2 linked regions of the Neodiprion lecontei genome follow. The protein of the gene in region 1 interacts with the protein of each later gene in a pairwise test. Links are inferred from orthologs where the notes say so. Each region holds a gene or a part of one and is shown in the gene's direction. Other genes may lie near its edges.

Region 1 (17,670 bases):
GTGAATATAGATACGAAAAGCAATTGAATCAACTTAAGTATTTTCATAATGATCCAACGAGCTTCGCTGCAACGCACAATACATTTCTTTTGCATTATGAAACAACTGTATGTCATACCGTGCAAATTCTCGGAACTGGATCGAGTACTTCAAATTATATAAGCATACTGCGATGAGAAGAGTGGATCATTTAGAATGTATTGCGAAACATAAATATTGCATCAGAAACTTGCACTCTTCTTGCATCAGCTTTCGTCGCAACGGTAGAAATCGTGACTTACCACCTCATAATACTGCATTTTTGCACTGACCCCGGCGATTATTGCCGATGTCAGTATGAGCAGCACGATCATAAAAATTAGGTGTTCCTTCTTATCGGATGTCCAATACTCGATCACAAGCCGAATATTGCCGGTTAAGAAGATGAAATAGCTCACAATGGACCCAGCATTACACGCCAGTGTAAAATTTGAAACGCTGGGTGTTTCGTCGACGGCGTTATCATTTGACCTTGCATTATCTGGTTTCTTTCTGGGTGCGAGTGGATTGCTCTCATCGCATGCATTTTGTGGATCAACTACTGTTAAATTCACGGTACTTTCACTCTCGTTGTTATTGCCGTCTGTGTTCATTGTCATTCCAGTCATATTGAATTTTACAGAGTTATCCAAGTCCTTTTGCTCGTCTATTTTGAATTGTTGTTGCACGTTCGTTTCTAACTGCTGTTGCACATCTGTTGTAACGGCTCGTAGTACGTCCGTTTTAATCGCTTTTTGTAGGTCCATGCCAATTTGCTTATCTGACATGTTGGAGTATGGTAGAATAATCGATCACTGATCAATCTCATATTACACTGTATTACACTGTACTGTACAAACTTTTCTGATGGTTGCGACGCTCGAAGTGACTCCGAGTCGCAATAAGCCGGTATATATATATCACCAATACTCACGAAGTGAAAAAATATCTCGACAAATAACTCTCGCAATGATACGCTATCTGGTGTAACGACGTTTCTTCGAAATTCATCCAGAAGCGTCTCACGCAACCGACACAACCAAATGGTTCACGATCACAAGTTTGGCGGCGCTAACATTCACGAATACGTAATACTGCAGAATTTATCCGCTAACTCAACATTTCAACATTCTTCGACCGCGATCCAAATTATTTAATTTTCTCCCAATGAATCAGCGATCACTTCGACCTCTCTGGATAATAAAAACACAATTCGCAGTGCTTTCTGACACATGCATCAAACTCCTAATACCTAGAACAGCACTTATATTCTTAGCTAGAGCGGTCGACTTGAACTACAACATAATCATATGTTTAACCAAGCCAACGCTCTTTAGCATTCTACTGGCTATTTCTACTCGACTCTAGCTGTGATCAGAAGTAATATCCTCGCACAGAAGTGCTTGCGTAGAACTGCTCATCGCGTTATTTGTCGTAGACTTTCGGTATGCGATCGGCATATTGATTATAAAGCACTGTGCTGACCGTACTGCGTCTTAATCTTCATTGAGAGTTATTAATAATTTTAAAAAATTTAACACTAGGCTTGTATTTTAACGAAGTTAAAGACAGTAAGGTGAATAGTATGGCAAAGGGCGAGAATGGGTTCCAAGGGAACCTCAAAATCGATCGTTCCAGAAAATATAGGTATTTAGATATTTCTGTAACAATCATTTGAAAAAAATGTATTCTAACAGCCACCGGCATATTACGTCCAACGGAATAAGTATCGGAAGAAATTTTTCATTCATCGATTAACAAATCATATACAGATGATTATTCGAATAGATTCTTGACTACAAAGTTCTGTTCAAAGCAATTCAGTGAATAAAATTGAGTAGCTGAAACAGACAAAAAAATTATACTCAGCTTACAATTAGATGGGATAAAATATATAATTTGCAAAAAAGGGGAAAAAATTGATTAGCTGACATAGATAAACGGATGATTAGCAATAACGACGGAAGTGCCTAAACTGACGAAACCTATGTCGAGCCAACCATATCATTCGCGGCAACAGTCTTTCACTACATTATTTCTACTGATAGATACGCTGCGTAATTAGACTAATCCTAGAGAAATACCCTTACCTAAATACGTGCAAACTTACTAACTGACATCATTTACGATAAAATCGATTATTTCTTAATTAAAGTACATACCTTCTAGTTTCATTCGCTATAATGGTTGGTCTAGTTTTCACTTTCTTCTCAGAGATCAATTAATCGGGTTACTTCATTTGGAGCATCGTTAAACGCGATCAATAGTGATACAATGTAGGCTGTCCCTGTAATCAGGTAAGAGAAAACAATATCTGATTACTATTTCACCTTCCAAATTCATACACAGACCATTGGAAATTGACGATTGTTTTTACAAAATATAATCAAGGACTGGATAGCAATAAATTTCAACTCAGAGATAAATTTTTAAATTGAAAGTAAAAGTGGTGTGATAGTATAATCGGGAATGATTTTAAATTCATACCTGTTTTTTATTCTACCACAACATTGTGACCTGTTCAGCTTCTGCATTTTGTTTTCCAACATTTATTGCCAGAGATCAATTGAGATGATCACTAACCTCGATCAATATTGCTGTAGTTTAATTCTGTAATCAGATAAAAGACCACAGCATTTTATTAAAATTTCCTGTCCAAAATCCATCTACTCAGTATTCAAACAGGTGCAATTGGAGTGTTTTATGTATTGTGTCAAGGCTTGTACAATGTTATCGATTACATAATCGAGTAAAAAATGATCGAAATGTTTTATATCTGTTCCTTTTTCAATAAATTCATCAGTTCCTCTCGAAAGTAAGTTTTTACTCGTCAGAAAATCAGGCGAGCTGCGCACTAAACAGTCAAATTTTTACTGAATTACCGTTGCACGCGACGTCATGGCGGTCAAGGCGTAAACCCTGAAATCTCTGTAAGATAACGTTATCGGCAACGCGTTTTTGCATCGGTACATAGACAAACCGGTATTACAGAAAGCTATTATATCAGTCTCCTCGGCCATAAAATCATCGTGAAGTATAGAAAACAATCATTAGCCGCGTGGAGCTTGCCCGTAGTAAATGTATCCGATGCGTTTACGAACACTGGCTATCTTACTACTATGACGTCATCGTAACCTAAACCATTCTGAAAATATCGACTGGTAAGACTGCCCGTTGCCTTGGAAATATACCGTAAAGACGGAAGAGTTAACACTGACGTTTAACAGAAAAATTGCGGTTTGAAATTTAATCTGTAAAGATGGTACGTCAATATAATTCAATGAGTAAATAAATGATGCATCTATAATAACTTCTTTCTCTACAGGCACAAGAAGTCGAGGAAACCATGAAGCGTATTCAATCCCACAAGGGAGTGGTTGGAACGATTGTAGTCAACTCTGAAGGTTAACCATTTCACTGTCTTGTGTATTTTAATTTATTACTGAAAAAACAAAACAAATTCGGTTACTTCTAAAATCAACTAAAATTATATTAAACGAGATAATGATTGTAGGAATTCCAATAAAATCGACGTTAGACAACACGACAACAATTCAATATGCAGGGCTGATTAGTCAGCTATCCGACAAAGCTCGTTCAGTGGTACGGGATCTGGATCCCACTAATGATCTCACTTTCTTGCGAATCCGAAGCAAGAAGCATGAGGTGATGGTCGCCCCGGATAAAGAATTTATACTTATAGTTGTGCAAAATCCTGTCGATTGACAGAATAAATAATTTTTGCATTCTTTTTGCGCCTTGCATGCAATTTTGTAATACATAATTTATATGAGCAACACTGCTCTAATTAGATACTAAAAGTTAATTTAACTGAGCACGCTGCTAAAAATTTAATACCGTTCTTCTCGTCATCTCACATTCTCTACTGCTCTTGTCAAACTGTTGGCACAATTTTAAATAATTTATATACATTAATTGTCCATTATCTATTGTTTATAATTTATTTCAATGTAAAAAAATGTTGGTGAATTTAAAATTGTTGAGTGTATGTCGACGATATTTGATATAAATAAAGTTTATTATAAATACATTTGTTGTTATTTGCGTAATGACTTTGAGTATGTATCAAAACGACATGCACTTACATTAACGATATATTTACAATTCACTAGATTCTTTACAACTGGGTAGAAAGTAAAGTTTCGTCAAAATTGACAAATACTTGAGCTTTGAAATGCGATGGAGATACAAATTATAACTGTTTCAACCTTTAAAGTATTCATTCACATTACGATATTGTTCAAAATGACCTACTATGGCATTTTTTAATATAAGCTGGACTAGATTCTATGTAAATCATTAGTAAAATATCACTCAAGAAAAATAAATCAGATCAACAAAAAAAAATTATTCAAACACTGAAATGCAGCTGGGTATGATTTTTACCCATATCAATGATTGTACGAATAAGGCATACTTCACAATATTATTAAGAGTTAGCAGGAACTTGATATTCCAACTATTTATACCATTATTGTAATCACCTCACACAAGAATATTTGTATAATATAAATATATACATGTGTACTGAAGGAGCACGTAAGTCAGCCTTCTACTTAATCTATTAATATTCCACCATCCCATCTTTGTGCCACTTTTTGCAAAAGGATATAATTTTATAACTAGAGCTTACTAGAAGAAGTCTTAGGTTTGCATGTTTTTATGGGCTTCAAAGATAAAATTCTTAAAAAATAATTCTTAAATAATGTATGTGTAATAGCAGAAAGAATCTAATTAGAGCCACCCTATATATTTATATCAGAACATATGTCACGTTGTAGATTCAAATACCGTAAATTCGATTTACTGTAAAGTGAGAGCGCTTCAATTTTTGAAGTTAATTTTCTAGGTGTTCACGACCTTTTGAAAACTAAATTCTTCTTCAATCCAATTATCATCCAATCAAGTTATGTAATATCAATCATTTGGATACATTGTTCGATTGTGAAATTAAACTTCATTGGAGTACAAGAAGAAGATTGATGGCAACTAGGTATACTTGTTTCACCATATCTTTCTGCAACCAAATTTCGAAATGATTTGATGGATGAGTTGCGATGGTACTAAAACTAAATCGCATTATAATCCATGCGTTTGCTGGGACATGTATTACTGGCGATACATGCCCTGTCTAATAGTAAATAATATACAATCTAAAATACGCTGCAGCAAACGTATTAAATAATACAATAAGGTAACAAGAGATTCTTTAATAATACTACTGCTGCTGTAGCGGGCAATAGCGGCGATGATCTGTTTTCCTTGTTAGACATTCAGAACGTATCACACAAAAAATCCCCATCTCTTTCCGTTAATAAATTCTTCAATAATATAGTACATCAGTATAGTGAGTAAATTACTAGTTTTTAAAATATATATATATAAAACTACATTTAATTTAAAACTACATTTAACTACCTCAGGAAGCCATTCTGCAACCTTTTTCATCAACTAGTATTTGTTCGCGGGGTTTTGGTTTGTTCGAAAGAAATTTTTTTTCATGAGTCAAAATGATCCGTGCTGAACGTCCTGAATATCAATCGTTATGAAAGAAATAAGTACTTGCTAGGAAATTTAGAATGCCGTAGCTCTAGCAAATGCGAAACGTGATAGATGGGCATATCACAGACGTGCAAATTTTATAACCTGACAAGAAAACACAAAAAGAAATTCTATGTTTGAAATATTTACTATAAAAATAGGTAATTACTAGGAAATTTAGAATGCTGCAGCTCCAGCAAATGTAGAACGTGATAAATGGGCATATCACAGACTTGCAAATTTTATGATAATCTGATGAGCAAACAAAAAAAAAAAAAACATTCTATGTTTGACAGATGTACATAGTCATGTGTTTAGATAGAGAGAAATAGAGATTTTCGAAGCGTGGAGTATACATGTTATTTCAAATAAATTGCATGGTACAAAAAATAAGATCGATGAGAAATGAACGCTACTACGAATAATGTGTCAACTGACTGCAGTGACTTGTTCAGGGGGGGAGTTTTTGCGTTTAGTTGTGGGGTGAAAATACACGTAGTAAAGAATCATGGCTGCGATACCTATACAAAATGGTACAGTACAAAGAACTATCAAAAATTCGAAATACCAACGATCTCGGAGCTTCTGATTGGCTTCCGTAGCCCATAAAGCTGCGGCAGCCCCGTTCTCTACGGAGCATAATACATAGTAAAATAAGTGTCTGACAAAAGTATGACCATCGGTTGGATTCAGGTATGTGAATACATAAACGGTGCCAAGCACAGCAGCAAAAAGTGCAGATCTTATTCTCTCGAGTACTGTCAATGGGGAGAGTGGCGAGTTATTTACGTCACGGCAAAATTCTGCTGCTCCGCCAGGCTCTGCAGCCAACCAGGTAGTCATGATTGCCCAATGACAAGCACAGGCTAGCCCTGTGTATAAGGGCTGCATGCTTGCAACAACGCTGATCGACAAGATGCGTGACACTGCAAATAGAATTGAAGAAATGTTAGAATTGCGATTTTTACGACTTCATGCTTCAAAACTAGTATTTTTAATTACATATTTGCGTAAAATGTATAACAAAATATTAATAATTAATGTTTTTCCTATGTCCCTCAGTTATTGTTTACCCAAACAAATGCACACGACTATTTACAGCAGATCTTTCGTCATCTCTATGAATTTTGTTCTACATTTCTCACCCTCTATATTGCAAAATAAATCACAAGAATGACACAAAATTTACATCATAAACTCAATGGACACATATTTTGAAAGTATATCAAACTAACGAAAACAGAAATGGAGAACAAAGAACTGTCCAATAATATTCTTTCACTGAATTTTAATATTTGTATTGAAAAAGACTTTCAGAGTTCATTTCATTCACCCACATTCTCTCTCAACCGTCATTAATTTATGAAATCATTTTTACCAGTAACACAGAAATGCCACAAGAATTGAAGAATTGTTCCAACAAGGTCAATGTTTGGTTTGTCATGTTGAGCCAAACGGATTGTTCGATGATAACTCGCCATAGACCAACCCATGCTCACAAGGGAGCTGCATACGCTGCCTATCTGCAACACTGCAGATTTGAAAAAAAAATAAGAATCAAATATAATCCCAAGTGTAGTATGAAAAAATGTAAGTATGATGAAAAAAGTACATCTTGAATAAATGATACATCGATGCTACATCTCTGCACGATATGTATCTATACGTACATTGAAAAGTCAATTCAGATAAATCATCGTCTTTAAGCAGAATGGTAAGTTGAAGGATTTGCTGAGGTGCAGCCTCGAGGAAACATTCGAAAACTCTGAGCAGTGCAACATTCTGATCTTCCTTAATCATTTTCAGATAATATCGCCGTTGTCCGACTAGGTCCCCAGCTTTTTTGCACCTTCGTGCTTTCATCGCATATCTAAGACTATCCCAGTAGCGGAGAACTGGAGCAAATTGAAACAAAAGCACCAAAATGCACCATGTCTTTCTCCTTGCAGCCCTAGTTGTTGCCGTTATCATACCACCTTGCTTTCCATCCTCGTTGACAGGGATTAGGCCGAGCTATAAATAAACATAAGAATAAATAACAGATTTTTGGAGACGAATGGTAGACCGTATATGCAGCTATATCCACCTGGCGGTCCTGGTAATTTATTCTGAAGCTGATGAACGTATTTACAAATGTCGGAAAAATTATGAACACGACAGTCCAAGCAAAATATGTTATCTTGTTATAGATCAGATATCGAGCCGCTAAGTTGATGTCAGCTCCGATATCGAAAATATGGGTAACGATAGAAAAACTCAGAAATATTATATCCCAACGTGTTACACTGGCACTTTCATCTGGTCGGTCGGTTTCATCGTCATACTCAATGCAACTCTCTGGATTGTCAGTGTTCTCAGCGCAGTTGTTGCCTAACCTCCCTCGCAAACTTTCCACACCTTCATGTGTCCTCCTGGCTTCATGGATGCGCACCGGTGATAGCATGTTCAAATGAATTCCACGCATTTGTTCGAATTATATTAATATATTTATAGTTGCTAGAAAAAAGAGTTGCACTGAAATTACCCTGAATACCAGACGTTTCGCTTTTAGCTAGCCACCCCTTTTTCCGACTTCTACGCCCCCCCTCCCGCACGTTTTGCCAGAGGCGACATATTACTGCGACAGATCAAAATTAGATCGAAAAAATGTCAAGGTCTTTAAACTTTGAAGCGTCTCCGCGTGGACTCTTTTGACAATCATTTTACACCAGCATCGGTATTACGTATCCGCGAAAAAGTATAATTTCGTTCGATGTTTTTTAGTTTGGTTCCAGCTAACAAAAAGGTGAAAATTGCAATAAATCATCTTGTCAAAGCACTGATACCACCCTGTCATCTCGTTATACTCATTATTTAACCACAATACACACTGATACACACCAATGCAACCAGTGAAAATATGTATGCCATTGGCAATATAACTATATCAGTGCCTACGGCGTATGAAATTATTTTGTGCCATTCGTGCCAGCTACGTCACGCAACTCTCATGCTACCCCATTCTTATCATTAGCTAGCTGATTTATCGGTTCAATGAAAATTAAAATCGGTCTGTCTCTTCTGAGCACTTTCCAATGGCCAAAGAAAATTAATGTGTTTTATACCAATTCAATCTAATTCTAAGTCCTTGGGTAATAGTCTTTATACTTTTCCCATGTATTTTATTATAAAGTGGAAGATTTCAAGGACAAAGAGTGCAATTGCTATATAAAACCAATTGATTCGTATCAACGTGTATCTGAACATTTTGCTTGAAACTTACAGACTTATCTTTTACGGAATGAGCATTCGAACGGTTCGGCAACCCTGTTTGAGTCAGATAGGAATCATGCGAGAATATCACATCGTATGTTGCCTTCATAGGATCAGAAAATCTAACAGAGAATTTATGGTCGTGCCTGTTAGAATGTTACGTGACTTTACATCTATTGAATGCCCCGTGCACGTTTGCACCGTAGTTGGCATACATTTGCGTGATTTTCGATCTGATCGTGCATGAACTCATTGCTAAAATCGTTATATGAACTTACACCCTTATTCATAGTCCTTCCTTGAGGAACAAGGATTCCTTGTTCGTGAAACGTGAAATGAGGAACAAGGAATCCTTGTTTCTCAAGGAAGGACTATGAATACGGGTGTAAGGCTCGCGGAAAGTGTGGGCTAGATGAGCCTGAATACGGTTAATATAGAAGTTTCCTGCAATTACCAACTATTCTCTCTCACCGACCCATTAACGTTGACTTCAGACGGTTAACATGCCAACATTCCTAATTTACTTTTTCATACCAAATAATGAAGTTTAGTTACTTGTCTTGAAATATTTATTTCGTCTATGCCCAAGTCAATGTTCGGTATTATAAGTCACATAAACGGATAGAAACCAAGATAGGCTCGTCGTATACTCTATTAAATTTAGATAAAATGTTACATGGCCAGCAATGAAGGTGGAACTGATACTTCAGAAAGCCCTTGAATATCCCAATTAAGAGAAACTAAACGTTTCGCCGTGCATGTTACAGAACAATGGATCGATTCGTTGAAAAATAAAAATTCCGTGGTTAGAAACATGACAACTGCGACTCCCTGTTGATGACGGCTCGGTCTTAGAGCTGTCAAGGTGTAAAAAACGAGAGTGATAAATATTTAGAGTCAGACTTAATAAAGACTGTACTGTAATAAAACAATGGCGACTCGAAGTTTAACAGAACCTTTTATTCTTATGCGTAACAATGCATCACAGACTCGACACATATACTCTGAACAAGTAAGAAAATTTTCGTTAATTCATTTACTGATGTTAGCCCACAGTAATTTCTTCAAACTTGGTTTGATTAACCATATGCCAATTGACAGCAAATCATCATGCGATAATTACTATTTTAACACAGAATTTGTCGGACAGAATGGCTCTTGTAGCCCCGGAATCAATGACTGGAGGTGACGTCGAGTTAGGGGGTTTGAATTTGGCTGGAGATGCACCACCTGCATGGTCTGATGCTCTGGAAGAAACCCAATACATCCTTAGTAGACTGCGAGCAAAGCTTGCTGAATTAAAGGAACTTCATGCAAAGCATTTGACCAGGCCAACGTTGGATGACACGTCTCAGGTATGACTGGAGCTGGCATAAGGCTCTAGTCAATTCATATTGAAATGTAAATGGAATATCTAAGTATCAGCATATTATTTGCCTTCCACCTTTTTCTGCCTCTTGTAATATATTATTGCCTGAAATAGATTTCAGCGAATAATCATGTTCTTTTCAAATGAAAAAAATTAATGTCAGGGGATTTTAAATGTAAATATTTGTAATAAATAGCTCTATTGAAAAAAGTTGAGCATAATTTTGTATGGCATGTGCAGGAAGAAAGGCAGATGGAACAATTGACCAGAGAGATGGGAAGAGCATTTACAAGTGGCCATCGGCAAGTGCAACTTATCAAGACAGCTGCCAGACAAGAAAGTAGAGCAAGTGAACGTCGACTTGCAGCCAGTGCCGCAGTAGCTCTTTCCACTGCTCTCCAGGAGCTGGGGTTATCCTATCGAGCTGCGCAAAGCCACTACTTACAGCGTACTATCACTATTGATATAATTTTATCATCTGTTCAGCCAGAATCCTAAACCTGAAGATGTACATAACACTGTGTTAAAATTAAACTAAAAGTCACGATGTTCCAAGTCAAGTAAAAATTGTTATGTTCAAGTTTGATAAAAGTCAGAATCTTATTCATTACTAAAATGCTGGGGGAGAAAACATAAAAGAAATAGGTTCAAAAGATCTCTGTTCAGTGATGCATGCTCCATTTTATCGATTTTACTTTTATTCACTCAATGCAACTGCAGTTCTCTCTTGGGCAAATTGACATTGATATGTCTATATGTTTTTATCTAGGTTTGATCGCATCTAAAAGAAAAACTCAAATTTATGTCAGTTAAGATCGTGGCTTTGTTTAAATATCTGAAGGCTGAAACACAGAATCCGATTCACAACATAATCGTGTAAAGATTATTCAATCGTCATCCAGGCTTTATCTAAATGTAATCCATGTTAATGACAGAATTGAATTCGAGAGAAGAAAGAAGTCGGCAGTACTTTGAGGAAGATCAAGAGTTTGTTTCTGTTGAACCATCGGATTCATGGGCAACAGATTTAAAGTTTGCTCAGGTTGGTGGAAGTAACTATGAACAACAACACGAACGGCAGTTGCAGCAAGAGGTCCTTTTGGAATTTGATGACGAAGAGCGGACCAGAGAAGCAATGATAAGAGAACAAGAAGTCGGACATATTGTACAGAGCATATCTGATCTAAATCATATATTTAAGGTAGAGATTTACCATGAAGTTATTTCCTTGCTTCAATACAACAATACTTGTAGATTTTTGATACAACCAAATAAAACAAACCAATGGACAATCGTTACTAACAATCTGCTTATGATTTTTGTAGGACCTGGCACACATGGTTCAGGATCAAGGTAGCGTATTAGACCGAATTGACTACAACGTTGAACAGACACAGATACAAGTGCAAGAGGGTTATAAGCAATTAAAAAAAGCTGATACGTACCAAAGAGCGAATCGCAAATTATACTGTATTATGGTGCTAACAATTAGTATAATATTCCTCAGCTTCCTCTTTGTTATATTCAAAACCTAGTACAATTGTATTAATAATATCACTGAATTAAGTAATTATCGTCCCATGGTTATTTAATTAATTAATCACTACAATGTCGAATTTATCCATAGGCAATTCATGTGTATGTATGTACGTACCTATGTACAAGTATAATAATGATATGTAATGCTGACAGCTAATAAATTATCAACTATTTATTTAAATGAATATAACCAGTTACTTGGCGTCATTGTGCTGCTCGCTGAAATGAAAATAAAAGTTGTGGAATTTCAAGTATCCACCAATCAGATGTAACATATCCTAATCAACCTAACCTTACATCTACAGAAAATATGCATGACTGCTGTGTGTTAGAGGCTTGAGCCAAGTTCGAAGTTTCATCTTGGTGATGACGCTGTATCAGTTACTGTATTTTCAAACGAATCATCGGTACTAAAAATTCTACGGGATTAAAGGTAGGGTGTATTCCGTTGTGTTCCGAGATAAGCTGCCGGTCCTAAAAATTTCTGAAGACTGAGAGAGAGCTCAGGAAAAATCGGGTAGAGCAAGAGAGATAAAGACAGCAAGCTGAGTTCAGAACACAACACATTTTATTATCCTTTCACGTTCGTTGTTCAAGGTGACGTGACGTACGCGACGATTCGTGTTCCGTAGATTTTCGAAAATATTCAATAGTGTACTAGATAATTATCCTAGGAATAAATACAGAGTGCACCACAGAGTTCACTGAAACATGAAAATATTAAGAAACTAGCAGAACTTATTACTCAAGATGTATTGCACGTTAAAAAAATGGTAAGCCAATAGATATTCGAAAAATACTGCAATTTGAAATTAATTTCAAATTACTTTTTGTCTAAAAATGATTTTTCTTAATATCCAGCATCCGCAGCCAAGACGCTGTAAGGGCCCTAAGCACAGGTGAAGTATCTACGGCTTTAAGACCCTTCTATTTCTCTGTGCATCCCGACTTGTTTGGCCAATTTCCCACACAAAGGGTAAGTCCTTGTTTTCAAATTTTTGTTTTGTATTCTGTGATGACATAAGTTATACTGCGTGTGTTTCTAACATGGATAGGTATAGCGTTAAGATCTGGCAGATTCTATGTTATTTATATCGTACATACTTGTGCGTGAAAGAGTTTCGTCAATCCTTTGTTCATTCACCGATTTCAAGTGCTGTACAAAAATGCCAACACTGGAGCAAATATTAATTATAAAGTTTGCTTCATTTAATCTCCAGACTGTGAATGAAAACTCCCTGAAGCAGTTGAGTTCTTTGATTGAAACTCTGCAGCAACGGAGGCCAATCAGGCCGACTACGCTGCCCTTTTATCTACGCTCAAAAGACGAAAAAGAAGTCAAGGCTGGAAAATTTACCTTGGTGAAAATACAGTTGGCAGATCGTGATGTCAGAGAAACAATTCTGTGCATACTTAAGGCATGCAATCTTTCCACAACTTTCGTTGATAAAATAGAAGAGAAAAAACCACCAGCTTCAAAGCTAAAGTCACAATTTTGGCAGAGGTATAGAGCACATGATGGCAGAATTGATTTTTCTGAACTTGAGGATGATCCTATCTATGCTTCCATTATTATGAGGAGGAAAATCAACTTGGAACCTGACACGTTCAAGTAAGTGTATGTATCAGCCCTAAACGCGATCAACCTTTAATAAAATTCAGCTCTTTCTTTGGTTGGTTTTCACAACCGTCACCTTCAACGTTCAAGACAAGGTTCACGATGTATCAGTGCATAGACGTTGTGAAATGTATATGCAAAGCACAAATAAGTCTTTAAAATTCTGTCATATCTTAGAAAATTTGGTAGAAATCCATTAATTACTGATGTTATTATATATTTCCACAAGTAATCATCTAATGCACGCAGCAAAAATAAACTGCTTTCAATTTACTTTGATAAACCAATTATTTTTATAATGATCCAGAACAAAAAAGATGAAATCAGGATGATGATATAAATAAATAAAAGATGGGGTTTAAAAAACGGCTGCGACCACTTTTCATACACATTCAAAGAAAAATCAGCATTACCTTCAACTAACGAAGAAGCATTTTCTTTCTAATCAAGTTATTATAGGTTTCATGCATTCTATACATTGTGTAATAATAGTGTCCAGAAAAAAATGTTGAGTGCCTGGAAATGTCAGAAAATTAGTACATAATTATATAAAAACTTATACATAAGTATATTTTGGTTTGTACTATGGATTGTTAAGAGTCACAAAGATGTTTTGGTGTTTCAGAGCATATTTAGAAAAGCATAGCAATGAAGCCCTTGTGAAATTAGAGGCATGTCGACCGATCCGTGAGGAGGTGGCCAAACTAGAGAAAGAATTATGTTTAGACTTGGGCTTGAAGAAAATAGTTTGGGACTGCGGCTGGAATATTGCTCACTATCGCGGTTGCTTATTAGCCTTTCTGGCACTCTCCAAACACCATCCTGAGCCCATGAAAGTTCTCCAAGGTAGAATTCTAGTCTTTGCTAATGACACAGGCATCAATTTGGAGGGAAATGTAATGTTGAACTCTGGTGAAGTGCGGCACAACTGGCTTGATGTAAGACATGTTAATAGATACAAAATTTTGAAGTAGAAATTGAGTGGTAGTCGTTAAAGTAGTATGTGGTTTTAACGGTTAACATTGCAGCTAGTGAAGAATGTGAAAAAACAAGATGCTGTTCTGCTGCGGCTCCCGGCATTTGAAAAGGCTGTCTCTCAAGTTCTGCTTGGCATCAAAGTTGGAAGACGGTGTGTAACGTAGAGTAGGTAATGAGTGACGGTAAGGCTCAGGGTGCAATTTATGTGCAGGAAATTCATGCCGAAGGTCATGGTGGATCAGTACGAACAACAGTTGCGTCAGTTAACTACTACTCTGAGTGACTATCGTAGCCGTAGAAAATACCCGACAGATTGGCCCGAAGATCTGAGCGCTTACGAAATTGTAGTCGAAACGTAGGTTCTTCAGAGTCTTGTGCTAATTTTTTTTCGAATTTCGATGAAATTGAAGCAATTATCATTAAATATCTATTCTTTTTAATAGCGAAGCTGGGCCTCTGATGCTATCACCCACAGGACAATTCATCGTTCCATCATCCTGCCCTAGTTTTCTATTAATTAGCTTCATCACAGAAAATTTGAATGCAGCTACTGAGAGATTAAATCATTACAACAGGTATGTTTCTTCACAAAATTATCAGGGGTTTTACAAATCTAGGAAATCGAAAAAACTGCCAAAAGTCAATGAACTCAATTACTGACTTAGACTTGATGACACAACAGCGAATCATTTTGGAGTATCAGCTCAGCTGCTGTTAAAAAATCTGTGCGAGAATATTTCCTTGTGGCACAAATGTCAGATCGACTATGTTATGCCCTTATCATTTGTAACTAGTTGTGTTGCAGACAAATATTTTCATTACACTTTGTGAATAAATTCGTTTTATTGAAGGTTTTCAAAAAACTTAACAGTTTAATGTATTTTTCAGGGTGAAACACGTAGAACGAGAGCTTCATAGAAAAGTAGCACTTGAGCTAGAGCTGGCAGCGCTAGATAAAGATGATAGCATAACACCAGATTTGATGATAGAATGCTGCGAACACCTTTTGCAGAACAAAACTGTTCTAATGCCAATGCTTTCTGGGATTAGGCTATGGGTCACTCACTACTATTCAGTTATGAGCGATGGAGTCTTATGTATACCATGGGACTGGAAAATATGATATAACAAATGTTTCATGATTTTCAATATCTTTAAAAAGACTTCAATAACGGTTCAACTATAGCGCATATTGTTGTAATTACAATTTTTTTATTTTTCTTTTGAATTTTATTTTCAATTTCGAAAGTTTACCTATTTTGGTATATTCTTTTAATGTATATTAAGCAAACTTGGAATGTTAAACTAGTATAGATTAGTCAACGAAGGTTCTTTTCATTCGAATCGTAATGAGATAATTCTGTGCCATTCTTAGTAAGCAAACAGATTCTAATTCAACACTAGCGAATTATATTTATATCTAATTTAGCAACGAGACTGTAGTACTATAGGTAATGACTGTACAGACAGTCTTGTATCACAGTTTTAGTCAATTATTAACAATCGTATTTGTACAATATCGGAATATCGATCACATTCTAATCAAATTTGAATTCTAAAGGGTGCAATTATGGTACATGTAAATACATTTTTATAAATAATGACAATATTTTTTGTCAGTGTCGCTATGTAATCTTGCGAGCAAAGTACATGCATTGGTTAGTATGTTTCATTTACTACTTATGCGTAAGAATAAAAACAAAGGCTGTAAAGATTATGAAGAAATTATGCATGAAATTTAATTTGAAATATCTTCTGCAAGTCCAAAATAAGACCCAGTCTTGTCAAATTTTTCATCTAAATGATTAAAAACGCTTTATTTAGAGTACAGACTTCAACAACTTTCTTATGAGTCAGTTTTTTTGACAGTGCTGGGTAGGAAAAAACACAAATATACCACATATATGTATGCCTGCGCTCGAGATCAGCAAATAAGGATTTTCAATACAACATGAGCAATAGTGCCAACAAATATTAAAATAATGTAACTTAATTTTTTTCTAAAATTAGATAATAGCTTATATTTTTCTAAGCTTGTTGTAACAGGCTGTTGTATAAAATGTTGTTTGCATCTAAAAATAAGTAGAAATAATGAAACAATTGACAATAGCCATATGACATTATTATCTTGTAAATAAATTGACCTTGTTAGAAGAATTCGTTTATTTTCTTGTCTTTTCACACGGACCGTGGACAAACAAACGCCAGTCGATTCTGAAGAAGTCTGAAGGGTATATTCCGCAACTTGACAAAGATTCGGAATATCATTGTCTTATTTTAATTGCTATGATAAACAAGGATAAAACAGCGAATGAGATTAGTTCGGAATACATCTTACCAACCTTACCAACTAAAGTTTGTGAACGCAGCCCAGAATTTCATTGTCATTTTCCTAAACGTCAAGTTCGTGGCACTCATTGAGTTGTCGCGTAGTCCGTTGTTGGGAGTTGTGTTTCATGTTGCGGATTCCAGATAAATAAAGTTGTGAACGTGATTAGTGCGTAGATGACTAATAACGGCTGCACCTTGATGCACAAAGTTCACTTTCACAGAGAATAGCAATAAGCTATTCTCTGTCATTTCATTATCAACCAAAATTGACTGCGGCTGACAATCACCACTACAGTTCGGTGTCCCATGTACACAAAAACAATAAAAATGCCAGCCACGAAGGATTCGAATATTGTTAAAATAGCCATAGAAATGGCCGATCAACAAGCACAATTAATTGAATTTAATCAAAAGCAGCCTTTGACCGGAATAATTCAGGTACATACATACTTTAATTAAATGAAGATTGAAGAGCCTATTCATCCAACCTCCAGTTTACTTTTCAGCGAATTATCGACTGCCAATAGTACTGAATGCGGATATTCAACCTAAGGATCAAATTAATCTAAATAAAAATTCAATATCTGCTATGCTCTATGCTTGTTGCACATCCTTAAAATATTTTGACTTGATAAAAGTATAGTTTGTTGCATACATTGAATTCAAGTAAAATCTTTGGTCATAGCGACAATATTATTTATAAATTATCTATTTTCTGATGAACTCATCACTGTATATTTCGTCTTGCAGGAACTGTGCAATGCTTGGGATCTCTCAGATCCCGACACGTATGCTCTGCAATTTTCAGATAACAACCATAACTATATAACAGAAAAAAATCGGAATGAAATAAAAAATGGAAGCATTTTAAGACTGGAACATTCACCTTCAAAAACAGCCAGCGACATACTAGCTAAACTAAACAATGGCAATAACGATGAAAAAGTTGCAGCACTCCAGAAATTAAGCACTCTTAGCAACGACGTTACATTTGCTTTGGAAT
Region 2 (16,836 bases), on another chromosome or scaffold:
GGCCACTGCGCCCAATATGGGACAACAACTACCCAGTCGCAGTTCTCAATCACGATACGTTCCTGAAAACGTGTCAGTTACTGTATCGCAACATTTATTCGCACAGTTCAAAGATTCAAAGATATTAATTGATTTACTCAAAATCTTTGCCTTTAAACAATTATTTCCCGAAGTACCTTTCTATCAATCTCTTTTCGCACATAATCAATCAAAAGCGGTTTTTGGTGATGGCGGTAGTAGTCGCAGAGAAATTTGTCCTTTCTCTGGGCTTCAAAGGGCAGAAACGAGCTACTCCAAATTTGGCAGTGCGGATGAGGGTTACTACATCCCATTATAGCCCCGCGATTCTCGAATATTTGTACCCAGGCCCATTTTTTGCTCAGTTCATGCATTTCGAGTATCCATCTGATTGTAAAATGTTGAGTCAAGGTTTCACGACACTGTGTCATACAGTTGAAACACATTTTTGCGATAATACTTACTGTTTTATTACTTCTTTGATATCTTCAACTTTCATCAAAGCGATGGTAACGTTCGATTTTGGGTGAAAGCACATCACTTTACAATTTCCCGTTGCTGGACCAATCTTGAAAAGCTCGTCCGAAGATTCTGGCGGACTTGGAACAGACTCCAACAGTGCGGGAAAGTCATTTTCAAATGAATATGTGTTGCGGTAAGGTGGAGTCACCTGGAAACAACAGTTATCACAATGTATTTGAGAAGTTGCGCTACTTTTCTTTATCTCTTGCAGGTTCTGCTCACTTTACCACTGCTCCTAACGTTTCCAGGACACAATGGATTCTTTGGATCATATTCGGGAAGCTCTTCGTCGAGATTATCTTCTACTTGCCCTCCCCAAGGACGTTTCATACGATGCGGGGATACCAATATCCATTCTCCTTTCAGAGGGTTATATCTGATGTGTTGGTGTTCTGCGAAACAACATTAAATAACTAGCATATACAAACATCCGTATACCTATGCATCATTCCCGACCATACCTGTTGGATCAAAGTCATGGTTAGTCGCCATATTTCCACAGGTTACACTCGAAGGTTGCCCTTTCTCCGACATCAATGATTCATCTTTGCTCGGGGTATCACGAGTGCATTCAAGCTCTTTGGACCTTCTTCGTTTACCTAAAAAAATTGATTAAAATTTAAATCAAACTTAACGCAATCACCACCAGATGAAAACAATATCTGTGACCTTTGCTGTACTTATACTTTGAAAATAATAGTGCAAGAATGTGCAATATAATGATTATGAGTCACATGCGTTCAGTTTCGCAATAGCGTATGAAACGCTGTAGCAAGGGAGTTTAAACAATGCATACTGTCGATTATCTGCAGTTCGACCGTCGAAGTTTATAATCACCAATATCGCACACCCCTTTTGCTTTGCCATTACCATCTCTAGTGCGATCCTTACCACACTTTTCCAAGGAACTCATCTTGACGTGTCAAATCGATTTTTCTTCGGTGCTTCTCAGGGTACCGAGTCTCTATGTGGACATTATGTCATTAGAAGTTTTACCAACTAGATACTAGATAACATGACATAGCTAAGTAGCGTAATCCGGATCTGATAACATCGTCATTTGTTATCTCGGATCATGCTGCCTGATTATTACAACTGTATGTGATGTAAATGAAGAAATTGATCACTATTCAATGACAATGAAAAGAAAATACTTTAAGAAAGTGTATGCTAATATATACCGCAAAACAAATATTTATTATTCGGTTGACACTTAATTTTTCTGGAAGTACATACATGCTAAATAACAAAATATACTTGCTTATTGACGCGTGTACAAAATCAATTTTTTAAGCCTCTGAAAGGAAAAAAATTGAACTGTTCATTTCATCATTTTGTAAGAACTTTGATCTTTTTAATATGTTTATTTTAGAAATTGATAATTATTTTGGACTTAATTTAAAAATAGATATGTACTTTCGAAAGTGTCAAGTGTTGGTCGAATGTGTCAAATCGCCGCGGTTTCAAAACCAGAACAAAGAGGTCGCTTATATCGGCGGACGGCCATCTAAAAATCTCATAGATAGTAACAGAATAGACAATAGACTGATGAAATAAAAATCAGATATCCTTGGCGTTCCGAAATGCCACCCAGGTGACTAAACGGTGTGTTCCGAAATAGGCTGACAGCCCTAAAAACTCCCTAGGACAAAGGCAGACCTACCCACGAACTCGGCAGTGCAAAAGTGATAAAAGATTGTTGACAGCACTGGGAGGTAGTTCGGAATCGGAACGCACCCTGAGTGAAAAGAAAGCTAATCTACTCATTCAGGTGGCGTTTTGGAACGCCCCCACCCCCCACAGCAGCGCAAAACTGACTGTGAGCAAAGCCGTCAGTACAGAGAGCGAAAATGTCGCGAGGAAGTAGCGCTGGTTTTGACAGGCATATTACGATATTTTCGCCGGAAGGTCGGCTCTACCAAGTAGGTAAGTCTGCAAAAAAGTCGGCAGTATCACCGTTTTCTTTACGAAAAATCCGACGATCCCCGAGCGAGTATTCCGTGCAATATTCGACATTTCATTACCGTGTTTATGATGACTCGGCGTGATTAGTGTTTCACTTTTTGATGGATAGTATTCTGTATTAATTAAAACGTTGTTTGTGTTCCAGAATATGCGTTTAAGGCTATTAATCAAGGCGGCCTGACCTCCGTCGCTCTTAAAGGCGTCGACACCGCGGTATTTGCTACACAAAAAAAAGTTCCGGTAGGTTATGTTGTCAGATTGAGGAGAAAAACGGTTTTACATTGGCACATCATTGACTCATATTTTACTTTTCATCTAAATTACAGGACAAGCTTCTCGATGCCTCAAGCGTTACACACGTTTTCCAATTGACTGAAGATATTGGCTGCGTCATGACTGGGATGATTGGTAAATTTTTAAAGTGTTTCCGTATTTAACCTGTGATATTGAGAGTTTTAAAAGTGTTGTATTGATATGCATTATACATTTTATTCACAATCCAAACTAATCTCGAGAAAATCTTTTTGTCACAGATATTTTCTGCTGACAATTGTGAATTTAAGAATCATTTCCAACCAATTCAATTTCACCAACCATTTTCAAGTGTGGCCCCTTGATTAATTGAAACTTACCCGACGTATACCTGCATACATAGATTTTGTTTCTAAGCATGAAACCTATGGAATTTAGGTGTTTTTTTTTTTTTTAATTATTTTTAAGAATACTGCTATTTATGCTCTTGATACATTTCTAGAAAAAGGTTTCATTAATTGAGAATCAAATTTTGCTATAAAAACAGAACCATCATTTTTCAGGATACTTAATATTTAATCGTGGAGTATATTTTTTTCATAATAATACTCAAAACTGTTATTTACAACGATTTAATTAAATCATAAAAATTACATTATGTTTTACAATGATACTTGAACGAATCTTTAATGAATTGATATTTTTACAGCTGACAGCAAATCTCAAGTACAACGTGCTCGTTACGAAGCTGCCCATTTCAAGTACAAACATGACTACAGCATTCCTGTAGACACTTTGTGCCGCCGTGTGGCTGATATTAGTCAGATTTACACTCAAAATGCGGAAATGAGGCCTCTGGGATGTTCGATGGTACTCATAGCATACGATCAGGAGAAAGGGCCTTGTGTTTATAAAACTGATCCTGCAGGGTACTTTTGTGGCTACAGAGCAATTTCAGTTGGTGCTAAACAAACCGAGGCCAACTCGTACTTGGAGAAAAAGTTAAAAAAGAAGCAGAACTATGATCACGACGAAGCGATTCAGCTGGCTATCACTTGTCTTTCGACCGTTCTTTCTGTTGATTTTAAACCAACTGAAATTGAGGTCGGAGTTGTCTCCCAGAGCAATCCGAAGTTCCGGTAATTCATGAATGAATTTTCATATGTCGCTTTTTTTTTAAACCAATTGTTTGCAGTTATACATTGTGATTAACTCGTTCTTTCTCTCCTTTCATGGCTTCTTAGTGTTCTCAACGAGCAAGAAATCGATAAGCATCTGACCGCAATTGCAGAAAAGGATTAATTGGTGAGATCGGGTCGAAAGGATATGACCAAATGTGTAATTAATCACAAAGTGTCATCTGATTTCTTTTTTACTGAATAATCAATCTTATCGATGATATGTACTAAGTATGCATAGGTCGAAGTACGCTAAAATAAACTCTGGCTTACGGCTTAAAGTAGGTTCTTTATTTTAATATAATCGCAGCTTGTTAAAAATAATTACAAAATTCTTACAAACTAGTGATATTATTTGCCTGATGCTGTGGCAAGTGGGTTTTTCAACACCAAGATAACCGAATCACCTCGCAGGAACATTTTTGATATAAACCGGTCTTTGTTCACTGGTTTAGCCTGCAATTTTTAATCATACAGTTATTAAATTTTACCTACAATCAGTTATAAATTTGAGGGTAAGTGAGGTCAGTTTCGATTTTATTACCTTTTTCTTTCCTTTTCCAGTCCGTGGTAATTCTGTCCACATTTCTTTGATGTTTTCCAATACCATATTACAGTGTCTGTCAAATGCTTTGACTCGGCCGAGCAGTTTCTTGTTGTTCCGACAGTTGATTAAAACCTGGGTGTTGTTTTTAACAGATTGTGTCAGAACGGACAGGGGACCGGTGTTAAACTCCTCTTCTTCCCTTTTAGAAAGTTCCTCAGGTGTCATTTCAGACTTTGGTTTGGTTAGCGACGCCCTGTAATCGAACATTTGTTGAAATGAAATTGTTGTATCACGTTTAAAACAGAGTTCAATTGTTAGCCAAAGTTAACACATCAGTATGGTCATAAATCATATTTAAAAAATATTCTAAATCTTGATGAGAGGTTAAGTTAGGTTAGTTTTTGTTCGTGACTTCTAAACTGGAAATAATTCGTCTACTTTATGCTATCAGATTCAACGATAATTTGATCAATATTATTGAGAGCACACTCACATTATGTTGTTGGAAAAATTCTTGCTGTTTATAAACTGCTTCAATTGATCATCAATTTTTTCTCGAATCTTGAAAAGCGTCTCTCTTTCGTCGGGCAAACGTTGTGGTTGTGCCGGAATCACCCAGATTCCGGATTTGTTCATTTATTTTACTAGTTACAAAATTGCCAGTCTTCAGCCGCAGAATTCCCTACGATCTTAACTCCAATCAGCGATGAGCTCTATGGAGATGAGTAGGTCTCTGCTTCAATGTTTGACATAAGAATCCCCCAGATGTCATAGGTTATGCATCCAGATTTTTCAGATCCAGATTGACTGTTGAAAAACAACAAGGAATTTATTACTTGATTACCACCGAACGAGAGAAATGGAAGCAAAACCGAAAAGTGAACATTTGTTAGCGTTAAAAGGTGCGTTTGAACAATCATGACCAATTAGTTCTCAAAATATTGTATAATTGAATGAGTAAGGAAATTCATGTCAACTGCCTCATACGCCTAACTTATTCGTTGATTTTTGTGTTTTGTTAATTGAAAACTTCTTCATTAAATTCTATTTATTTCTAGTTATGCGGCTTACCAGGCCGACACTTGCTACTCCAGTAATTGTCTCTTGCGACTCGACAGATCTTCCAGGTAACACGCTCAATAATGAGCTTAAAAATGACAACACCTCCCTCCAGGGAATGGAGACCCTTGCTGTTGGCCAATTCATGATGTTGCCACAGAGTTTTGGGTAATAATTGATCACAGTGGCCGAGATGAAAAATTTTTTCCATTTTCTACCGATAATTTTACTTATCATAAATGCTTTACAATTGTTTCAGTAATATCTACTTGGGAGAAATATTCTCGAGCTATTTATGCGTTCACAACGGTAGTTCCCAATTAGTTAAAGACGTGATGGTGAAAGTAAGATTCTTTTATTTTTCAGTTTGTATGACAACATTTGAGTTGGCATAAATAATGCTTTAACTAAAATCTGTTACAGGCTGATCTTCAAACTAGTTCCCAACGAATACCTTTGTCTGGTCATAACGGTATGCCTAAGGAACTAGGCCCTGATAATACAGTGGACGAAGTTATCCATCACGAAGTTAAAGAGATTGGGACACACATGTAAGAGAGTTGCGCTATTCTGTAGTATGGCATTTATTATATTTTGGTGTTTTGTAGTACAGTCAAATTTTTCAGAGATTATTGGGTTCCTGTTTACAGGTAGAAATTTTGTTGATTCCACTCTGTGAAATCTATAGTTATTGGAATTTGACAACTTCAATTTTTATAAAATCTCAGATTACTAGCAATCCGTGTTATTTCTTTGGTTGAAAATTTTAACCGTCTGGTGTACTTTTGTGAGCAAACCACTCTCTTCAATCCTGAACTGCGAAGTTTCGAAAATAAAAATTCACAATTTCATTTTCAGATTGGTTTGCGAAGTTACATATACCCCCACAGTTTCTGAACCTGTTCCATTATCATTTCGCAAATTTTTCAAGTTCCAAGTCGTCAAACCACTCGATGTTAAAACCAAATTCTATAATGCAGAGGTAAATGATCTTTCCTTTAGGGTATCTTTGTTTGAAAACTATGACAAAGAATACATTAATGAAAATTTGTTATCCTATTTAATTTATAATTAAAGGACCCAGTTATAAATGTAAAAAGTTTACGATTAATCATATGATTTTTCTAGTCTGACGACGTTTATCTGGAGGCTCAAATACAGAATCAAACTGCCGGTCCGATTTGTTTGGAGAAAGTAGCACTTGAGTCATCCCATTTATTCAATGGTGAGATAATTTTTGTAACTATGGCAGGGGAAACGAAAAATTTTAACTAAAAATGTACTCTCCACAGTAACAACCTTGAACACAAACTTGCAAGGTGAGTCTATTTACGGGCGAGTGAATCTATTAGATTCTGGATCGAGCCGGCAGTACTTATACTGCCTTACTCCTCAGCCGAGCTTAACCAAGGATCCAAAAATGATGCATAATGCAACTAACATAGGAAAACTTGATATCGTTTGGCGGAGTAATTTGGGTGAAAGAGGACGCCTACAAACGAGTCAGCTGCAGAGGATGGTTTGTTTCAAAAACTGCAATATGCGTTTAACATGTAAAGCTCAGCTGGTATTCGATCTAATTGATTTTCGGTTGTCTTTAAGGCTCCAGATTTTGGAGACTTGAGAGTAACAATGAAGGAGATACCACCTATTGCATACCTGGAAGAACCAGTGAACTTCAAATGTCGTATTGTAAATACTTCGTGAGTAATTGAAAGCATTCATTGACAGTGATAAATGTGTAGAGAACCTTTCGAATTTATCGTATTCAAATTGAAATAAAATAACATCAATGAAAAATAATGCTCAGTTCAATATATGTTTTGTTTACAGAGAGAGAAGTATGGATATAATGTTGGGCCTAGAATCTAATAAGTCTATAGCATGGTGCGGAGTCTCTGAGACTGTGATAGGAACTCTTAAATCGGGAGCATCGTGCGACATTCCATTGTGTTTAATTCCACTCGACACAGGGCTTGTTGTGAGTATTTATTTTCAAAGATTTTCATATCCAAAGCTGCATGTATAGTGAAAAGTGCTAAAACAAATAATTTTCAATATATTATAATGGGTAATGATTTCAGAAGAGAGACTAAAGATAGATCATTTTCGCCTTTAGACTGTTTCAGGTTTGAAATTAGTGGACACATTTTTAAAACGTGTCTACGATCATGATGACCTCGCCCAAATATTTGTACATCAAGTCGACTAATTATTATTTATACTAATAGAAAGTGTTACTGGAAAAGAGATTCTAATATAATATTTGTTGTATAAATATGTAAATATGATCAATAATTATTAAATCTGATGTAATTATCTATTACGAAAGAAAGTTTATTATCAATTTATTGAAATTTTATGATATTGTTACCAATTACCTATCGACGAAAATTACCTACCATTATTAACAATGACAAATTTGTACAACCTAATTCCTTCTTCATCGCCACAGATTTGTTAAGTTATGACAAATTTTAAGAAATAACTAATCGATTGAAATTAATGATTAAAATTAATCATTTTCAAGTTGATTTTTTTTTTTTTCCCCAATACATCAGTGACATTCTGCAATTATTTGACGAAAATTTGATTAATATAAATCATACAATGAATCTTGCGTTATAAAGAAGGTAGCAAGAATCTGATCTATACATATAATATGCCAGATATCTAATTCCCCTTTAGGCAAAAATATCACGGAATTTGACTAATCGCTACGGATTTTTTCGATCCATCGAACATCGATATGTAGTCTCGACAGCATGCGTCGATCGGAAGTTGTTGCATTAAACGTGATCGAGTTTCGAGGCCTCGATCAGCATCGTCAAACTCCTCCTTTTCCGTTGTGGTTGTGTCACAGGGTCTCCGGGTAATATTTTTCGTCTTTCATTCAGTACAAATTACACTTGTCCTACTGCTTGGAAAAAAGTCTCGTTACATTTCATTGGATTGGGTAAATTACATGTATTGTTTTAATGCAAAATAATTACGCATACGTTCCTTTACAGACCATTGTATAAACAATAATTACGCTCTGCTTTCGGCCCTGTCCCAATGTAATGGAAAATGAAAGCTTTGTAGTTTACTAGTCCGCCTTAGAGCGGCGCTTTGTACCCGCATGATGACGTCACTAACACTTTACATAACGATGAATGCATATATGTATGTGTACACACGACACACACACAGACACACGTACGGATACGTAATTTCCTACCTACCTACTTATACCCGTACCTACTACGCGTTGCAAGTTTTGTACAAAAATATTCGAATCTCGAATTTCATTTCAATGAAATGTTTATTGTAGCGAGAGATGAGAGGAATTCTCTGGGTTCATTTATTCGAAATCAAATCTTTATGTATCGCAAGACTCATCGAACTATACCCGTTAAACCCGCCAACGATAGAAAGAGGGAACAAGCTGCTGTCTTTAAATTAATTCTCGGAAACTGTGTGTCGCGATCGAAGATTTTTCCTCTTTCGACACCGCATCGTGAGCAAGGTCGTTATGAAGAAAGAAATAATAATCATAACAATCGCGTAGTATTCTGGGTCAATTTCAGGCATTCCCCCCACACGACAATTAAAAATGTCAGCCAAACGGTTGTGTCTCGATGTTCAATTTTCTTTGTTCTACTTCTATTTTCTTTTCTTTCCGATTCATTGTTCGATGACCCAAATGTTGTGACACATTGTCGTCACGCGATCGATTAATCAATGATGAAAATTACGCCGGTTTCGCGTACATATATATTCGACGGATGTATTATCGATCGGAACGTTGCAGGATGTTTTTTCTTGAATTTTCATCCTCCATTATTAATATCGTATTTTTCCCCTCTCTTCTCTGTAACTGGGCAACAAATATGTCCTATGTCCACCTGAATTGTTTACTCGTCATACGTTCCATGTAAACGCAGTTAGAAATCGTGACGCAGCGGCGCTCACCTGAAACGGCCATGGCGCCGGGTGAGGCGCGAGGGGTGAGGTAATGTCCCGCGCGCGCAATGCATGATGGTACGTCGTACCGTCGAGAGGGACGCAAGAGGGGGGGAATCGAGGAGGGCGACGAACAAGACGGGATCACAAAATGGCGGCCAAGCTCAGGTCCGTGACCATATAGTACGGGAAAATTCGATATTATTGAACAATGTCGGGATATAATATAACCAGTGATATCTAGTATCGTGAATACGTTGTTGTTTCGTAATCGGAAGGGTGAACAGGGGGTGAAATAGTGCATATTCGACGTTAAATAAGGAATTTGGTTTTACTCGTGAAGGGGAATGATGCAGGTGAGTGGACGGGTACGAAAAATAGTCAATTTTCGAGCTTTTCTCGCAATTTTCATCGATAATTATTTGTTTTTATTTATGATATGAGCGTTACCGTTTATCTGCGATACCAATTTGCCCGATGCGACCGCGGTGTTGTTTGGAATAATGTAAAATACCCCTTGCGACTTGTGTTTTAATCATCTGCGGCTAGAAAATGCTTGATAATTGTTAAAATTATTATTTACACCTGTATTTCAAGGGTTTCTACGTGTAGGGCGGGGCCTTGTGCCCCGACTGAGCCCAGGGACTTGTCTCTCTGTTGAACGAATTTTCCACAAATTAACAAAGTCTTGATCATCCAAATAACCTATAAGTTTGTTTACATTCTACTAACAACGAGTTTTTTCAATTAAAATGTCAATGTTCCAACCATATTTTCCCGCAAAACCATTCCTCACTATTTTTCCCAACCTTTGGTAACAGTTATTCAAATATTCGTGACGGACCCATTTTTGCAAATTGAGCTTAAAGTTTGGGCCGCACGCTATCCACATAACCTGCAACTCTTTGCCTTGTGACATTACTTCAAAAATTATAATCCTTACTGCCATTGGTTTTGGCAAATCTTCCAAACTTACTTACTATTCTATTCAAACTTTGACCATCATTTTCCACATCATTTTCATATACTTTTACTGCTTCAACCGCTTTGTTTCATTGTGCGTAAACACAGCAGTGTTCCCAGTATCGATAAAACATTGTGCCAATATGTTTTGCATCAGTTTTATCCTCAAACCCACCTAAGTTATTCAACTTTCTACAAGGCAATAATATCTGCACTGTACGGCTTAAAAGCCCAAATTAATCAGATTTAATCACGACATCCATTTGATATTCGACAGCCATACTCATCTGCTAAGAAATGTTGTTTACAAGCTTATTGTTAATGTAGTCTGGTTTTCACTGCAAACAAACTGTTGAGTAAAACGTAAATTTTTGTAACATTCGTCTAAAAATTTATTGCATTGCTATTGTAAAAGTATATTTGTGCTTTTAATGCTATTCAATTCTTTTGCGACAAAATGAAAAATGGTCCTCAATCGTTTTTTTTATTAAGCTCGTTATGCCACACAAACTATTTTCGCAAATTGAACAACTACAGAAAAATAAAAATAGATAAAATACTAAGGCTCATTGCTAACTTGAACTAAAGAGATAAAAGATTTCGATAGTGAAAGCGTATCGTGTACATAGAATTATTTTCATTGCTAGTTGTTTTTTCTTTTATAAATTATAATAACTACTCTGATTCAATATTACTATTTGCTCGTATTCCTGAATTCGAATGTCAATCAAATCATCTTATTCGTTTCTATATAGTTGAAGATTTTATCCAAGTAGCAATTATTCATATCACTGTAAATATATACGTATAGATATATCATAAAAGAAAAGAGAAACTAGCATTATTTATGGCAATGAAAGTTTTGTTCTTCCATCTGATGGTTATAATGCAAATTAATACTTACCATTAGGCACTGGTATTATTTCTCTTATAACTTAATTGGGATGCATCATTTAATTCTCACATAGTTTCGATTCAAATTAGTGATAAATAATTGCATTACAGCTATTGAATATTCCTTGCGAAGTGTATATTCATATTTTTTCTATTGGAACGCGTAGAACTCAGTTTTTTATCACTCAATATTATTTCTTTATCGTTGATCAGTGTTTCCTATGCTTTTTACATATCTAGGAATCTACATTCGATACTTGGAAGAGCTATCGCATCACACATATATTTTTTTCCCTCAATCACCAAACTGTTAGAGATTCAAATATGTAAAGTTCGCTGGACAATGTTTGTGGGGTAAATTTTGTCTGAGATCTTGATGCAAAATAACAACTAATATAAGATTACCTTATTTAAACACCTGGATTTACATATTGTACACAAATGATTGTATCAACACTGAAATGTTGATGTAACTTTTGTATTAATAAATAAACCTATTTATTACACTTTAAAAACAGTATATAAGTCATTTTATCTCCATCCTTGTATATAATATATCTAAGCTATCTAGTAAGCAAGGTTGCATCATTTGTTCTATGATCTGATTCCGTAAGCTAAGAAGGCACAGAATTTACATCACCATCGACATCTGTGGACAAAGGATAAGGTGGATCTTGGGATGCCTGCAGTATAAGTACAATAAGTTTGCAAATCTTGAGAAAAGGATAGCAAAGTAGTTTTAAATCTGAATAAAACCAGCAGCTTTACTTCGCGGTGATTAAGAATAATTATCAAAGCAACACAAGCCATATCGGCAAGCTATAATTGCAATAAATTCGTTGCTTTTGGTATAATATGGCATAAACAAAATGGCGGATGAATTCCACAAAATGGCTGCTGAGCAATCTACGGAATTTCGTAAACAGGAAATTGTATATGATATACCACTGTCTAATTGAATAGATCCATAACAAATTCTACTACATATTTGCAACAGATAGTCAAACCTATTAGCGTTATTAATATTATTATCATTCCTGTTCCTAATAATATCCTTGGTATTGAATTACTGGATAAATATTAGCACAGTATATCCAAACAACACCGTGGTATCTGCTCTTTCTTATATAGATGTCTGTATAAGCGATTACTGATTATTAGATTGTATATTTCGAATTGCATTTACAGAAAACTTTAGATTCTGAGTCTGGTAAGGAATCTGGTTCAGATTCGGAGAACGAGAGTAAGAGCGACAGCTCATCATCCGGAAGCAACTCCGGATCTGGTTCTGGATCAGACAGGTGTGTATATGCAGTGAATTGAAAGAATTGAATTTAGTAATAACACACACGGTGTCCAATTGTATCAGGGAAAACCTGGATATCTAAAAAAGCAAATTATAATCTCTGATTTAAGTCTCGGAATATTTTTGGAAACAATTAGTAAATTGAATTCTGGTACATCTAAAAGTATGCTTTATATTTCAAATACTTACTTCGAATTCAGAGATAGAAAGTATAAAGAATGAGTAAGATCTTCTATGATTTCCATTGGACGTCGTATTGTGTGAATACTAAAAGATCGGATGAATGGTTAATAAAATTAGGTAAAAGCCAATTTCAGTATTTAAAATTTTGTTTTGTGGTTTTTCTGAGATCAGATCGATACTTCTGGAAGTTTCACGTGATTAAAAATCAATCAAGCTACTTGCTCAAGCTTTGCACGCCAGTACTAACTTTACCTTGCTGATCTTACGGCTAACTGTTATTTGTTCTTTGAAGCTGATGTTGGAAAATAAATAAAAAGAGGCATTGTACTACCTGCCACTCCACAAATGAGTTTCAATTTACAAAAGTTGTACATTTTTCTTCACTTTACATTCCATACTCTGATTTACCAATAAATATTTTTTTTTCATTTACTTTAAACTTTGTATTAAACTTAGAGACATGCTAATGATTATTACAATCAGATCATCTCGGCTCTGGATACAATGGCCAGAATTTATGAACTTATTACGATTCTATTTCGTTAGTAGTTTCGATTATTAGATTGGGGGATACATAGAATTTTTCATATTTCTTGTGAACTTAAGTTTGAAAAACTTTATGATAATCTATAAAGTGATAAATGCTCTTGAATATTTGTATTTTAAATCATAGTTTAGGAGTGAGAATTAGATCAAGTTGCGTGTTTGCCTTACTTATTACTACTACATCGTTTCATCATATTATGTCAATACCAGAGTCACTGTAATTTTGATCTACGCTAAAGACAACAATAAACAACTACTTCCCAGAGTGAAAAGTTATCGAACAGTATCATTTTCTACACACATGAAAATATTTCTTATTTAAAATGTTTGTAAAATCGTATTGAAATGAAATGAATGTATTACATCCGAGCGTAAAAGCTGAATAATGATATAGTCATTTTGTTAATTCAGTCTTGTATTTAATCATACAATTATAGATATTTCATCAATATTTTACGAGACACTGAGACGTCAGAATTTAATATTGAAAAAATTAAACCTGACACATTACAAGCGAGCAACACGTGCACGATTATCGTTATCAGATATTAATCCTGAACAAAATTTTAATTCTCAACAGAGATAATACTTATCTTCTGTTTGAATCAATATATTATCTCGAAACTTACAATACGGTCAATCATTATGCGAGTCAACAGATATCTCTTATTTATTCATTCATTCATTCATTTACCAATATTAACCAACCCCTTGAAAGGGGGTGACAAAAAAAAAAAGTAATACTAGTATAACGAAAAAAACAAAACTGCTTGGCTGCTAACGCAGTGACTCTAGCTCCTCAAGCGGTTCTGGTTCAGCATCAGGTTCGGACTCTGAAAAGTCAGATAAATCGTCGAAATCGGATACTCCTGCACAAAGCGTTAGCATTCAAAGTAAAAGCTCGGTACATAGCTCAGAGACAAAAGTTCGACATAAAAGCGACTCGAGTCGTGAATGGGATGAAAACCCAGACGTTTATGGAATCCGAAGATCGGGGAGATCCCGCAAGGAACCAGAGAGGCTCACTACGCAACGCGAAAGCGACGGCGATGTACGACGGAAGGTTCAAAAAAAAAGGTAAGGAGAATGAAATAGATAAAACGCTATCATAAGTAAGTATTTTATTATATCCTTTGGGATTTCTGTGATCGTAAGGAAATTTCATTGTGATAAAATTTGAGAAAAATGCAATTGCTCGAAAATTCAATTACAATTACACTGATATTTGACGGTAGCGGAAAGCGATATCAAAGTCTTAATTATGAAACTTCAATTCTTCTGTAATTCAGCAAACCCCACATAAGCAAGTTGAAATTTTTCTCGCAACAAATGCATTGCATTGATTCTCGTCAACTTGAATCAGGAAGTCTTTTTTCCATGTTAAGTTATCATCATGTATTCTTTGAATTGTTAGACTTTTTAATCGCTGTTAACAGGCTAACATAAAGCTAAAAATTAATTTCCAAGTGTGATTTGTTTTCCAAGCTTCAAGCCTTAGTCGTCGAGTTTTGTGTAACGTCTTAATACGCGATATAACATCTCACAGTGGCACTCGTTTACTTATCATTGCAACATTTCTTATTTCAGTACTCAAAATTCCTGGAATTCTGACAGTTCAGAATCAGAATCGGATGAAGCTACTAAACGGAGACCTCCGCCAAGTAAATCGATAAATCGTCGAGCAGCGCAAAAGGTGAAAGAAAACACTCGTTCACGTCATAAACGAATATCAGAATCCTCGGAGAATTCTTCGTTTGACAGCGATGATAATCGAAGGTGAGCACGCATCAGTATTAATTTAAAATTATTTGGGCTGTTATGATCGTTAGGTAATTCAACACACGATAAATATCAATTTAGGCAAGTCACGCGACGGGCTGGAACTGCAGTCAGTTACAAAGAACAGAGCGAAGAGGGGACTGACAGTGAGGATATAGTCGAGGTTGACGAAGCATTGGCGACTCCGTTGGAACCAGATAATGCCGAAACCATTGAACGAATTCTGGGGCAGAGAAGAGGAAAAAAAGGAGGTGAGTTTTAGTAAATCAATGCGAATTATAGCAAAATCACATGAACGCAACACAAGCAAATCGTCTTACGATTTCTGGCATTTTATAACGAACGTGTATAAACTTTTGCTACTGTTAGTTACTGGAAATGTGACGACTGTCTACGCTGTTGAAGAAAACGGTGATCTGAATCCTACAGATTTGGCGGACGAAGAAGCCGAGACGCAGTATCTAATAAAATGGAAAGGCTGGTCGCATATACACAATACGTGGGAATCAGAGGATTCTTTGAAGGCGCAAAAGGTATGAGAAAATTTTCGAACTTTTATACAGACTGGTTGTGGATGGAAACTGGAGTATATTCTATTTTACATTTTAAACCGATATTTTATTTTATTTGTCGTAGGTGAAGGGTATTAAAAAATTAGAAAATTTCGTGAAGCGAGAACGGGAAATCAAACAATGGAGAGACTATGCTGGACCTGAAGATATAGACTACTTCGAATGTCAGCTGGAACTTCAACAGGATTTATTGAAAAGCTACAATTACGTAGAACGGATAATTGGTAAAAACTTGTTAATTGTTGTACTTGATTGGATAAAAGACTAGACGAATTTTATCTGCGCCGTTATTTGTTGAAATAATATTTTTTCACAGCTGAATATAACAAACCGGATTCTGGACATCCAGATTATTATTGTAAATGGGAAAGTTTACCATATGCCGATGCGACGTGGGAAGATGGAGCTTTGATAATAAAAAAATGGCCTGAGAAGATCAAGGAATTTCGCGATAGGGAAGATTCGAAACGAACACCGAGTAAACACTGTAAAGTATTAAAGTATAGACCAAAATTTCATCAAGTCAAAGGGCAGCCCGAATACATGGGAAGGGGGAAAGATTTAGTCTTGAGAGACTATCAAATGGACGGATTAAACTGGTTGATTCATTCTTGGTGTAAAGAGAATAGGTAAAGCTATGAGATATATGTTATATATTCGAAATTCGTTATCAAAAATCAAGCAAGTGCCGATAATTTCACATGACTATGAATCAAAGATTATTAATAATTTGTTGATGTTTATTTTTTTATTTTCAGTGTTATTCTCGCGGATGAGATGGGTCTGGGAAAAACTATACAAACTATATGCTTCCTTTACTACCTTTTTCACACGCAACAGTTGTATGGACCATTTTTATTGGTTGTACCATTGTCTACGATGACGTCTTGGCAAAGAGAAATGGCACAGTGGGCACCAGATATGAATTTTGTAACTTACCTTGGTGATGTGACGTCTAGGAACGTGGTAAGTGTTGTGAATTTGGCAGAATATTTTTGTTCAATGTTCTCTTTGTTATTATTATTATTTTTGTTTTACTTGATGTATTTTTACGGCTTACAGATCAGGGAGTTCGAATGGTGTTATAGTTCAAAGAGGTTGAAATTC

What was found.
Region 2: the proteins of syntaxin-16 (region 1) and proteasome subunit alpha type-6 interact in a two-hybrid assay, tested with the Caenorhabditis elegans proteins (3 studies listed by BioGRID). The link is inferred for Neodiprion lecontei from reciprocal best matches to the Caenorhabditis elegans genes syx-16 and pas-1.

What each region holds. Positions count from the first base shown.
Region 1 is NC_060262.1:42,170,595-42,188,264, forward strand, and holds syntaxin-16, read left to right. Parts: upstream 1-9,387; 5' UTR 9,388-9,763; coding exon 9,764-9,844; exon of another isoform or gene 9,845-9,968; coding exon 9,969-10,187; intron 10,188-10,441; coding exon 10,442-10,649; intron 10,650-11,136; coding exon 11,137-11,402; intron 11,403-11,526; coding exon 11,527-11,736; 3' UTR 11,737-11,921; downstream 11,922-17,670. Other genes in the region: XK-related protein 7, read right to left, coding at 282-806; dynein light chain roadblock-type 2, read left to right, coding at 3,278-3,280, 3,344-3,422, 3,533-3,744; XK-related protein 6, read right to left, coding at 6,010-6,506, 6,959-7,111, 7,251-7,593, 7,667-8,044; T-cell activation inhibitor, mitochondrial, read left to right, coding at 12,491-12,513, 12,602-12,716, 12,961-13,352, 13,984-14,296, 14,387-14,487, 14,530-14,691, 14,780-14,911, 15,225-15,459; engulfment and cell motility protein 1, read left to right, coding at 16,974-17,105, 17,418-17,670.
Region 2 is NC_060266.1:19,482,723-19,499,558, forward strand, and holds proteasome subunit alpha type-6, read left to right. Parts: upstream 1-2,305; 5' UTR 2,306-2,390; coding exon 2,391-2,466; intron 2,467-2,650; coding exon 2,651-2,745; intron 2,746-2,831; coding exon 2,832-2,913; intron 2,914-3,466; coding exon 3,467-3,896; intron 3,897-4,001; coding exon 4,002-4,059; 3' UTR 4,060-4,216; downstream 4,217-16,836. Other genes in the region: probable galactose-1-phosphate uridylyltransferase, read right to left, coding at 1-62, 177-405, 483-688, 763-932, 1,002-1,139, 1,378-1,453; probable small nuclear ribonucleoprotein Sm D2, read right to left, coding at 4,287-4,391, 4,480-4,735, 4,976-5,118; trafficking protein particle complex subunit 13, read left to right, coding at 5,342-5,384, 5,541-5,709, 5,801-5,885, 5,965-6,092, 6,400-6,523, 6,670-6,766, 6,834-7,060, 7,144-7,244 and 2 more; chromodomain-helicase-DNA-binding protein 1, read left to right, coding at 9,834-9,842, 12,532-12,644, 14,165-14,455, 14,966-15,154, 15,239-15,408, 15,527-15,690, 15,794-15,953, 16,046-16,358 and 2 more. UniProt on the Caenorhabditis elegans protein: The proteasome is a multicatalytic proteinase complex which is characterized by its ability to cleave peptides with Arg, Phe, Tyr, Leu, and Glu adjacent to the leaving group at neutral or slightly basic pH.